2 linked regions of the Drosophila melanogaster genome follow. The protein of the gene in region 2 purifies or fractionates together with the protein of the main gene of each other region. This does not show direct contact. Each region holds a gene or a part of one and is shown on either strand. Other genes may lie near its edges.

Region 1 (4,097 bases), on a different chromosome or scaffold from region 2:
CCTTGGTTACCTATTTTGAATTATTGTACCCAGCTTTGCTTGCAGTGTATCACCACCCGTAATCAAATACAAAGCCCCAGGGGCCGAAAGGCTTTACCAGTCCATAAGAACATTTTTTGTTTCCGCTAAAATGATGATATGATACACGGGGGAGTTCAAAAAAGGAGACAAGCGGCCAATGAAAAAAAAAAACGCATTCAAGTCATGTAATTTCGGAACTTCCTTTGATATTGTACATTTGTTGGTGCTTTGCATGCGCTAGGTGCAAATTGGGTTTTTTCCAATTTCATTTTATATACCCACGGCGTCATGAAGCCACCCATATTTATTGCATAATTTTCAGCATAGCTTCCCGCGCACACACATTGCGAACATTGATTGTGGAAATAACTACGGCCAGTTGTGACTTTTACCAACTAGCGTACAACTAGATTGCCAGATTTTCTCGGGCGTGTTACATTTCAAATTGTATTGTATTGTATTGTATGTATTCAAATTATCAAATAAATTAATTTTATGAACCAAATTCCACATGCTGCTAAAACATCACATACGTTTGATATTCTATTTTTAACAAAAATAACCTTTATTTACGTATGAAGTTCATTCTTACAACTATGAATACGCTATCCGTTAGCGTTTAAGCTAGTATTACTGATTATAAGGGATTATATCTGGAAATAAGACAGTATACTCTACTGAATTTGATTGCGTCAGTGAGCTTGAATTCGGATCTCGTTCCCGCCCCCCTGCTCGGCCACCATTTCCACCTTCATGCTCTCGGCCAGCATTACGGCGTTCTGGTGCAGTTTGGTCTCCTCGTGCTGGCGCATGTGATGCAGCAGACGGAAGTCCTTGTTGCAATAATCGCAGCGGTACAGTTTGATGTCCGAGTGGATGAGCTCGTGCTTGGTCAGGGAGTGAGCGTAGGCAAACGCTTTGTCGCACACCTTGCACACGTAGGGCTTGATGCCACGGTGAACACTGATCGGAAAAAGAAAAGTTAGTTATCTCTGTCCCGAACTAGGAATATATTTAAATGGCCCATTTTGAGGCCTCTCCGTGAGAATAACATTTCTACTCACTTTTCATGAGACTTGAGAACACTTTCGTAGAAGAATTGACGACTGCAGAAGCTGCACTTATAGGGTTTGCTGCCCGTGTGGGAGTACATGTGCTTCCTCAGTTGCTCGCGCACCTGGAACTTGGCATCGCATAGTCTGTGAAGGCGGGATTAGGGTTATCGCTTTAATATGAAATTTACCGACTCGACTTACTCGCATGCATATTGGCAGATGCCGTCATGGCGTCTGCGATGCTCCATCATCCGGCCGCGCTTTTCGTAAAAGTTTCCGCAGACGTCGCAGATATAGCCACCCTTCTCAGTGCCGTCCGATGTTGTTAGGGAGTTTAATCCGCGACGAACCCGGCCGCGCCGCGCCTTCAGGCTTGCCTTGGCCGCCTCCTGCAGCGCCAACTGCTGCGATGGTGTCTCTTCGTACTGCTTCTCAGACTCCAGGACGATCTCGGTCTGATCGGAGTTCATCTCGATGGTGTAGTTGTCCTCCAAGTACTCGATGGTGTCGCCAATGCACTCCTGCTGATCGCTGGTGTCCACTTCCAAGTACTCCTCGTGCCCCTTTTCTTCCTGGTGCTCCTCTTCCCCGGTGGTGGTCTCCTCCAGGATGTACATCTCCTCGTCGCATTGCTGCTGCGAGCCGTCCTCCTCCTTGATCATCATCACATCTGATTCGTCCAGCAAGCCCAGTTCCCGGCAGTACTCCTCAATCTCCATCTGCTTGCGCAGCGCCTTCTCGCGAAACTGGTAGGCCATGTTGAGTTCGACCTTGCAGGACTTGCAGATGCCATCGGGTATGTGTTCTCTGTCGTTCAGCTGCATGAGGGATGGATGGATGAATGGTCAGTTCGCATTGCCAGCTCTAGCGATTCACTTACATTGCTGTATGAGACTCCCAAAAGTTGAATCAACATCTCGTTCGGCGATTCCTCGCCTTCCTCGCGGATCTCGTCTAGGCGCTGCAGTCGCTCACTCTGCGCCAGGCAGACCCGGCACGTCTGTGGGGTAAGCTCGACGCGCATTCTGGAATCCTGCTCGAAATTTAATTTAAAGAACCGCTCGCGTAGTATTGTAGTGTTAAAATTTGTGTTGCTAAAGTGTTGTGTAAAGCGACTGAAAAAAGAAACGAAAAGACATCGCCATTTTCCTTACCAGGGCTGCATAGCATCGGCGAACACGATGTGGTTCATTTTGCTGGTTCCGGGAAGCGGATTTTTGGTTAAATATCTGATAAACATGTTTGCTGCTTGTGACAATACATTGGAAATATTTGTTCCTTTAACCATGGCTAAACGATATGATATGATAACTGAAAGTATTCCCCAGTGTGCCTATAAACACAAACAACTTGTAAAATGAGAAAGAAAATATTAATACTTCAAATATTCAAATATTATGAAAACAATTATATATATATTTATATATTTCTTTCATATTTACGTATATTTAGATAGAGTAAAGAATTCAATCATAAAAATACCAACGTCTTACATTAAATATTATTTAAAAAAAGGCCTAATGCGCTTAAATTTGCCTTATCAATAGAAAATATTATGTCCAATACTGACAATACATCTCACCAAAGATTTAATTTAGCTAGGAACCAGTTCTCTATGGCTCATTTTTTTGACCAGTGGCGATAACGATGACAGCAAGATCACTAAAAGACTAGCGTTGCATGTTTATCATATACAAGCTAACATTGCGTAAGGTGAATCTGCAAATTATATACAAATTATTAGTAATTTACTCATTTATTTATGCGAAATCGCAAATACAACACCGTGTTTACATCCGAAAGCTCTGGCAAAAAAAGCACATTTCTTAATGCAGCCGTCTGGCAACGCCACATATTTTTCGAGACGCAGAACGCAAGATATTTTCTTATCTCTCGTTAAAAAATGGATTATTTCGGTTCAATCGGTGCGTATCTGGGAAAATCGCATGCTCGTTGGCAGTAAAGAACGCCACGCACTTTCACGTCCCACGCCCAGCGCACTCCCGCCTGACGGGAAAATGGGAAAGCAACTATATCTGGCATCCGTATCTTCGTCCGTCGCAGCCGTCAAAATGTTCGTCGCGCCAGTTATCGACTCGGCAATCTCCATCTCCTAAGGCACACACACACTCAATAGAACGCAGTCCAGCACTCACACAGGCAGCCACCTACGTAACCTGGCAGCGGAAGCGCCCTTAATCTTGGCCAGAAACCACAGCAGGCAGAAAACAACGAGGGAGCAGCAGCAGGCGGAGGGAAACGGAGGCGCCGCTAGCACTAGCACCTAACATGTCCGAGAAGCACGGCCAGCTGGGTGCGCAGTGGACGAAATCAGCGGCGCCAGCAGCAACAACAGCACCAGTCTCCAATTCCATTCCCATACCTCAACCGATCCCTGTGGCACTACCCCTCCAGAAACCCAACGCCAATCCCTATGGGAACTGCAGCCTACAGCCCGCGGATATAGTCTACAGCGCAACCAGATTTCAAGGACCTGCTATCCATGCAAAGGGCTCTCCTTTGACCATTACGCCCGTGGGCCCTGTCGGCGGAGCACCTGCCTCTGCCCAGATCTCGCCCACGAGTCACACCCATGTACCTGTACCTGTAGCCACGCCCAGCGGCTTTGTGCCGCCTCCGTTTTCCAATGCCACCAGCGCCAGTGGAGGTGTCTCCACTTCCGTACTTACTCCGAATCCCTTTGCCACGGCGAGTGCAAATGCTGCTGGCCTGGCCTTTGCCAATGCCTTCAGCTTTAGCACAGCCCAGCAACTGGGTCTGGGCAAGATCATGCACGCTATGGGCGGAGCTACTGCGGGAGTGCCATCGGCGCCAGTACCAGTCACCACGACTCCAGCGACAGCTGCTCCTTCGACCCCAACAATAGCTGGTCCACGGCATCCGAACGAGGGCGTTCCAGCGGCCAGTGGAGTGATAAACTCCACCATTGCTGAAAACGTAATGAATGCTTTGAGCAACTCCAACTCAGCGGGATCAGTTCCCAGTGAGGAGAAGATGAGA
Region 2 (4,724 bases):
AAGATCTCTTTCTCAACAAAAGACCCGGATCTCTGGGAGAGTAGGTATGGGATTGGGACTGGGATTGGGCCTGAGACTGATCGGATAAGGAGGAGCAGTACTTACCATCCTTCGGTGGACTGGCGCAGGGCGGGGCGTAGCTGCCCAGATGGTAGCCGGAGTAGGAGTTCTGGTGCATTGGCGGGAACGGGTAGCCGAGGGCGCTGCGCGGACTGGGGAAGCCGGAATCCTGGCCGCCCTGCGGTCCGAAATGCTGATAGGTGCTCCGGATGCCGCCGTACCTGGAATGCCGCAAATGCACGGAAAATAATCAATACGGGGCTGTAATATAGCTGTGGCAGTTGTGGAAGAAGTAGTGGAAGTAATGGAAGTGGCGTACACCGGCTGTGAATGTGAATGAATCGTGCCGGGGACAAAACTTTTCCTACTTGCGTGTTTTGTCTACACTTTTCACTATTCACTATTAAATTCAAACGTCGCCGAGCATAGGACGAGCGTTCGGTCGGGAAAATATCTAAAAGTGGGCCCAAAATGTTTCATGTTTAATGCAAGAAGCGTCGAAACCAAAACTTTTTCTCTCACAACAAAAAATTAGGCTGGCGGAGAGGAAGGAAATTTTTGCCATGACTTCATTTACAAAAACCAGAACCGAAACCAAAAACAAAACCAAAACCTATCCAAAGCCCGAACTGGATGCGGCTTAATATATCAAAGAAAAATCAATACGAGTGTCAGAGTCGCTGTGTTTTAGTTTCGGTTTGGTCCGCAGTTCCGTTTGCAGTCCCGCTCGCTCGCGGTAAATATTTTGTTAACACTTTGCGGGCGAAACAGTTGAGCAAGTTCCCATGCATTATGTTCCGAGCGAACTGCATGAAATATTCAATGCTCTCCTGGCCCCTCAAACACGGAAACGGAAGCGGGCCGAAAGCAGCAGAAACCGCAACGGACAGCGGCCAACGGACAACGGAGAACGGACAACGGACAGCGGACAGCGAACAGCGAACAACATGGCAGCCACTCCGGGGACGGAGAAAAGTCGTGGCCAGGAACAACTCCCGAGGGCTGGTCGGCGCAGCCAAGCATTCCAAGTCCCGTCCCAGCCCAAGAGCCCAACACGCACAAATGACAGAGCAGTGGAAACCGCAAGGCTCAAAACCAAGAATGCAATAAAATATGTATAATGAAAAATCGAATCGTGCGTTGGGAAAACAATTTGCGGCTGCAAACAGTTCGCCGAGTGAGCGGTAACAGTAAACAGACCACCGAGCCCGACTTATTGCTACCCCATGAGGAACGTGTTGTTGGATAGGAACAGAACCCTCCGGATCAGACGCTTATTTAGAACACGGACCGGGAGTAAACTACACTTAATTGAATTTATTTTTGGCTTCCGCTGCCGGCCAGCCAGGCACCAGCATGAACTGTAAGCCGGAAAGTGCAGCTGAAGTGATTTTCTTAATCAAAACTAATAGTATAGCGAGACCCCAACGCGAAATCGATCCCGAAAATAGTATCATAAAGATGGAAAGCTGACGGCAACTTTCATCGATTCAGTCTTAGTCGATTTGGCTGAGGGCCTAGAGAAGGCTAAATGGCGAATTGGCAAATTGAAATTTAAAATTGTGATTTCGAATTTATACTACATTTGTTACTTTAGAAGTACATTTTTATGGAAGTCAAAATAATTTTTAACTTTGGATTACATTGACGAATTCATAAATCTACAATTGGTTGCTTTCATTTTTTAAGACAACTAATAATTATACAAGTTTTTTAATAGTAAAATTTATGTATCGATCGAAATAAGACTATTGGCTATTGTAATGTAATCAGTAATTAAGACCCTAAAAAGTTATATGAACTACTTAGACAATATACTCTTGAGTTAACCTGACTTTATTTAACTGCTTGCTTTTACCAACTGTTATTTATTATTAAAAATTGAATTTGTTTATTGTAATGTCAATGTACTATATTATCTATTTATGCAATTATGCAGCTTGTAGTCCTATGCCAACTAACTTTTTCCCTTGAAATGAATGAAATGATTTTAAAGACCAAATGGTTTTATGGTACGTATAGCGCTCTTTAGATTCATTAAAAAGATTCATATTCGAGTTTTGGGAACGCCCTGGCCACAAACTCCTTTTTTCTCGGGTGTGTCAACTGCTCCGCACAGATTGAGATTGAGTTCCGATAGGTTTGGTTTTGGCAGGGCTGAAGTCTGGAGGGGATCGAGTCTTTTCGCCGAAACACTTTCTGCAATCCTCCCGGTGACTCCACTCCACTGATCTTGGGGACACTCACCCGGCGGCGGCGTGCTGCTGCAGCTCCACGAAGGCGGACTTTCCCGGGATGTTAATGCCGGGCGTGACGCTGGCCGCCGTGTTCCCGCCGTCCATGTACTTGGGCGTGTGCGGGGCGTCGGGGGCGTCCATGCCCGACTGGGGGGTGCTGGGAGGCCCCTCGTAGGGGCTCCCTAGGTCCGTGAAATTGAGCGTGTTGGCGCCTATTGAGGCCACTTTATCAAGAATTTTGACGGCTGTTCAGGGGGATGCGCGCGGGAAGGAAGTTCTCAGAGATCCGATGGCAATGATCAGCTATACTTGCACAGTAGGAGTGTGTGGCTTGCGTATCTAAGGTTTTTGTAGGACACAATGTCTTGGCTTCAGTTCAGTTCGGCGACTTGATTTGGCGGAACTGTTGAGCGCGTAAATCCTTTCAGATGGCGAGGAGGCACTTTTCTCAGCACTGACACTCAACTTGTTAGCAACTCAACTCACTCGAAATTGCTTTCTTGTATCACTTCGATTTCTGGCTGTGCATATTCTTTGTAGATTTTCACGATTTTCAACTCCGTTTTGCGAATCAATCAAATCAATTCATATCAAATCAGATCAGATCAGATCACTACAAATCACTTTATAGTCCGCGACGGATCACTTAGCTCGACGCAGAAACGCAAGGCGCAAAACGCTACGACGGATCGACGACGGCAATTCAACGGCGAGAACAGCGGCGACGACTGCACACGAACAAAGTGCGTATACGACTAGGTGAGGTTTTCGCGGCGCGGTTGCGCGAGACTTCGACTCGCTGCGCTGTCGCTTTGCGGCCGTGCCGCTTTGCCGCTCTGTAGCAGTGGTGTGCGAGCGGCGCAGATGTCATCCATCGCCGTGCGTCGGAGCGGGACGGCTGCTGAGGCCCAAGCCGCTGGCAGTGACTCTCGCCGAGCGTCGCCAATCGGGTGGTTTGCAACCGGTTTTCTCGGTGGTGTCTCTGTATGGTGGTGCAGAAACCGCACCAATACTATAAATTTCCCCGTTCCGGGTGCACGGGGGTGGGGCTGGGCTCTGGGACCCCGTTTTTGTGCCGCTCAACTCGTCAACTTTGTCTAGGTCTAGGGCCCGCATCGAGATTGAGGCGTGGCCTGTCGCCCCGCGTCCCCACGGATTTGGGGAACTTACGGCGTGTATATGCAAATTCCAGGGGGAACTGCCCGTGGAAAGTGCAAATATTTTGACGTTTTAAATAATGTTGATTAAATGCAAAGGTCTCAATTATTAAATTGATTGTTGAACCTATAATTTGTCTTCTTATTTAGCCGCTGCTCCTTTCGGGTCTTATTTTCGGATCAATCGAAACTGTGGCACACGCATTTCCACGGGTAATCAACAGTTGCGGACAACAGACGAATTAACTTAATGATTTGTTTACGTTTTACAATCGGTGGGCTTGCTTGTAAGGAAAAAACGCTACGCACACAAACAACATAGCGTGGTATATATGACAGGTCTGCTATCATTTTCTAATGGAACCTTTAATTTGAAAATCCTTTCTAGGGAGTCTTAAAGCCTCCTTGGAGTTGGTACTTGTGGCGCCACCTAGTGGCCGCCTTTGGCAGCGACAAACCAGTCTATCGGGCCAACCTGCTCACCTGTCAAACACACACACACACACCCTCGCAGCCGCACTCGTACACACACATACTACCTGCGCACCCAGCACGCCCCCTGCTGAGAGCAGAAACTCCCTCGCCACGCCCCCTTGAGCGTTTCGAGAGAGGGCAGAGAGCTCGAGTAGGCCCAATTCAAAATGGCGTCCTTTCGGCCACATAATGTCGCTTTGTGGCTAGGGCCAAGCGACACGGACCGTTTGCTCGAGCGGACTTTTTCATTCACAAGACAAAGTCACCGAGCGGAGAGAACAGCGGAATTTCCACCTTTGTCCGCCTAGCCTAACTGGCAGTTGAAGCGGCGGCAAAGCGGTCTCCATTCCACCCCTTTCCCCTCTCCCAACAGCAGGCAGTTGTCACCTGAGAAGGATTTCCGCTGAAAGTGGGAAAATATGCATATGCATGAGTCGGAGCGGCGCTATTAACCAGAACCAGAGTGCCACAAAAATCGAATTAAGTTTGTTTATAAAAGTAAATATAAATCGAGCATCCAGCGGTAATTGAGCGCCTGATCCGACTGAAATGCTAATCCCCTCGTCCGGATTGGATCGGATCGGATCGGCTGTGGAGCCCGCCGTTCCGAGTTATGACCTGGTCGGCTGCGCTGCACTAATTTAAGGTAGCACTGCAAATGCACGTAATTGTTGCAATTACTTAATGAAATATTTATTAAATGCAAATTATGATTAGCCCGGGCTAGCCACTGCACTGCAGCTACTGTTCCTTTTCCCAGTGAGGCGCCTGGGCTGCGCTGTTTGTGCTTGACTAG

Evidence for each region.
Region 1: the proteins of Dll (region 2) and Zif purify together in Drosophila melanogaster (affinity purification with western blotting; one study listed by BioGRID). This does not show direct contact.

The regions. Positions count from the first base shown.
Region 1 is NT_033777.3:6,455,290-6,459,386, reverse strand, and holds Zif (Zinc-finger protein), read right to left. Parts: upstream 2,300-4,097; 5' UTR 2,231-2,299; exon of another isoform or gene 2,171-2,230; 5' UTR 2,101-2,170; coding exon 1,957-2,100; intron 1,895-1,956; coding exon 1,278-1,894; intron 1,221-1,277; coding exon 1,086-1,220; intron 985-1,085; coding exon 714-984; 3' UTR 565-713; downstream 1-564. Other genes in the region: CG9727 (uncharacterized protein), read left to right, coding at 3,366-4,097.
Region 2 is NT_033778.4:24,813,151-24,817,874, reverse strand, and holds the start of Dll (Distal-less), read right to left. Parts: upstream 3,054-4,724; 5' UTR 2,439-3,053; coding exon 2,308-2,438; intron 282-2,307; coding exon 106-281; intron 1-105. UniProt on the Drosophila melanogaster protein: Transcription factor that plays a role in larval and adult appendage development. Specifies the identity of ventral appendages (including legs and antennae) and suppresses dorsal appendage development. Involved in patterning the distal-proximal limb axis.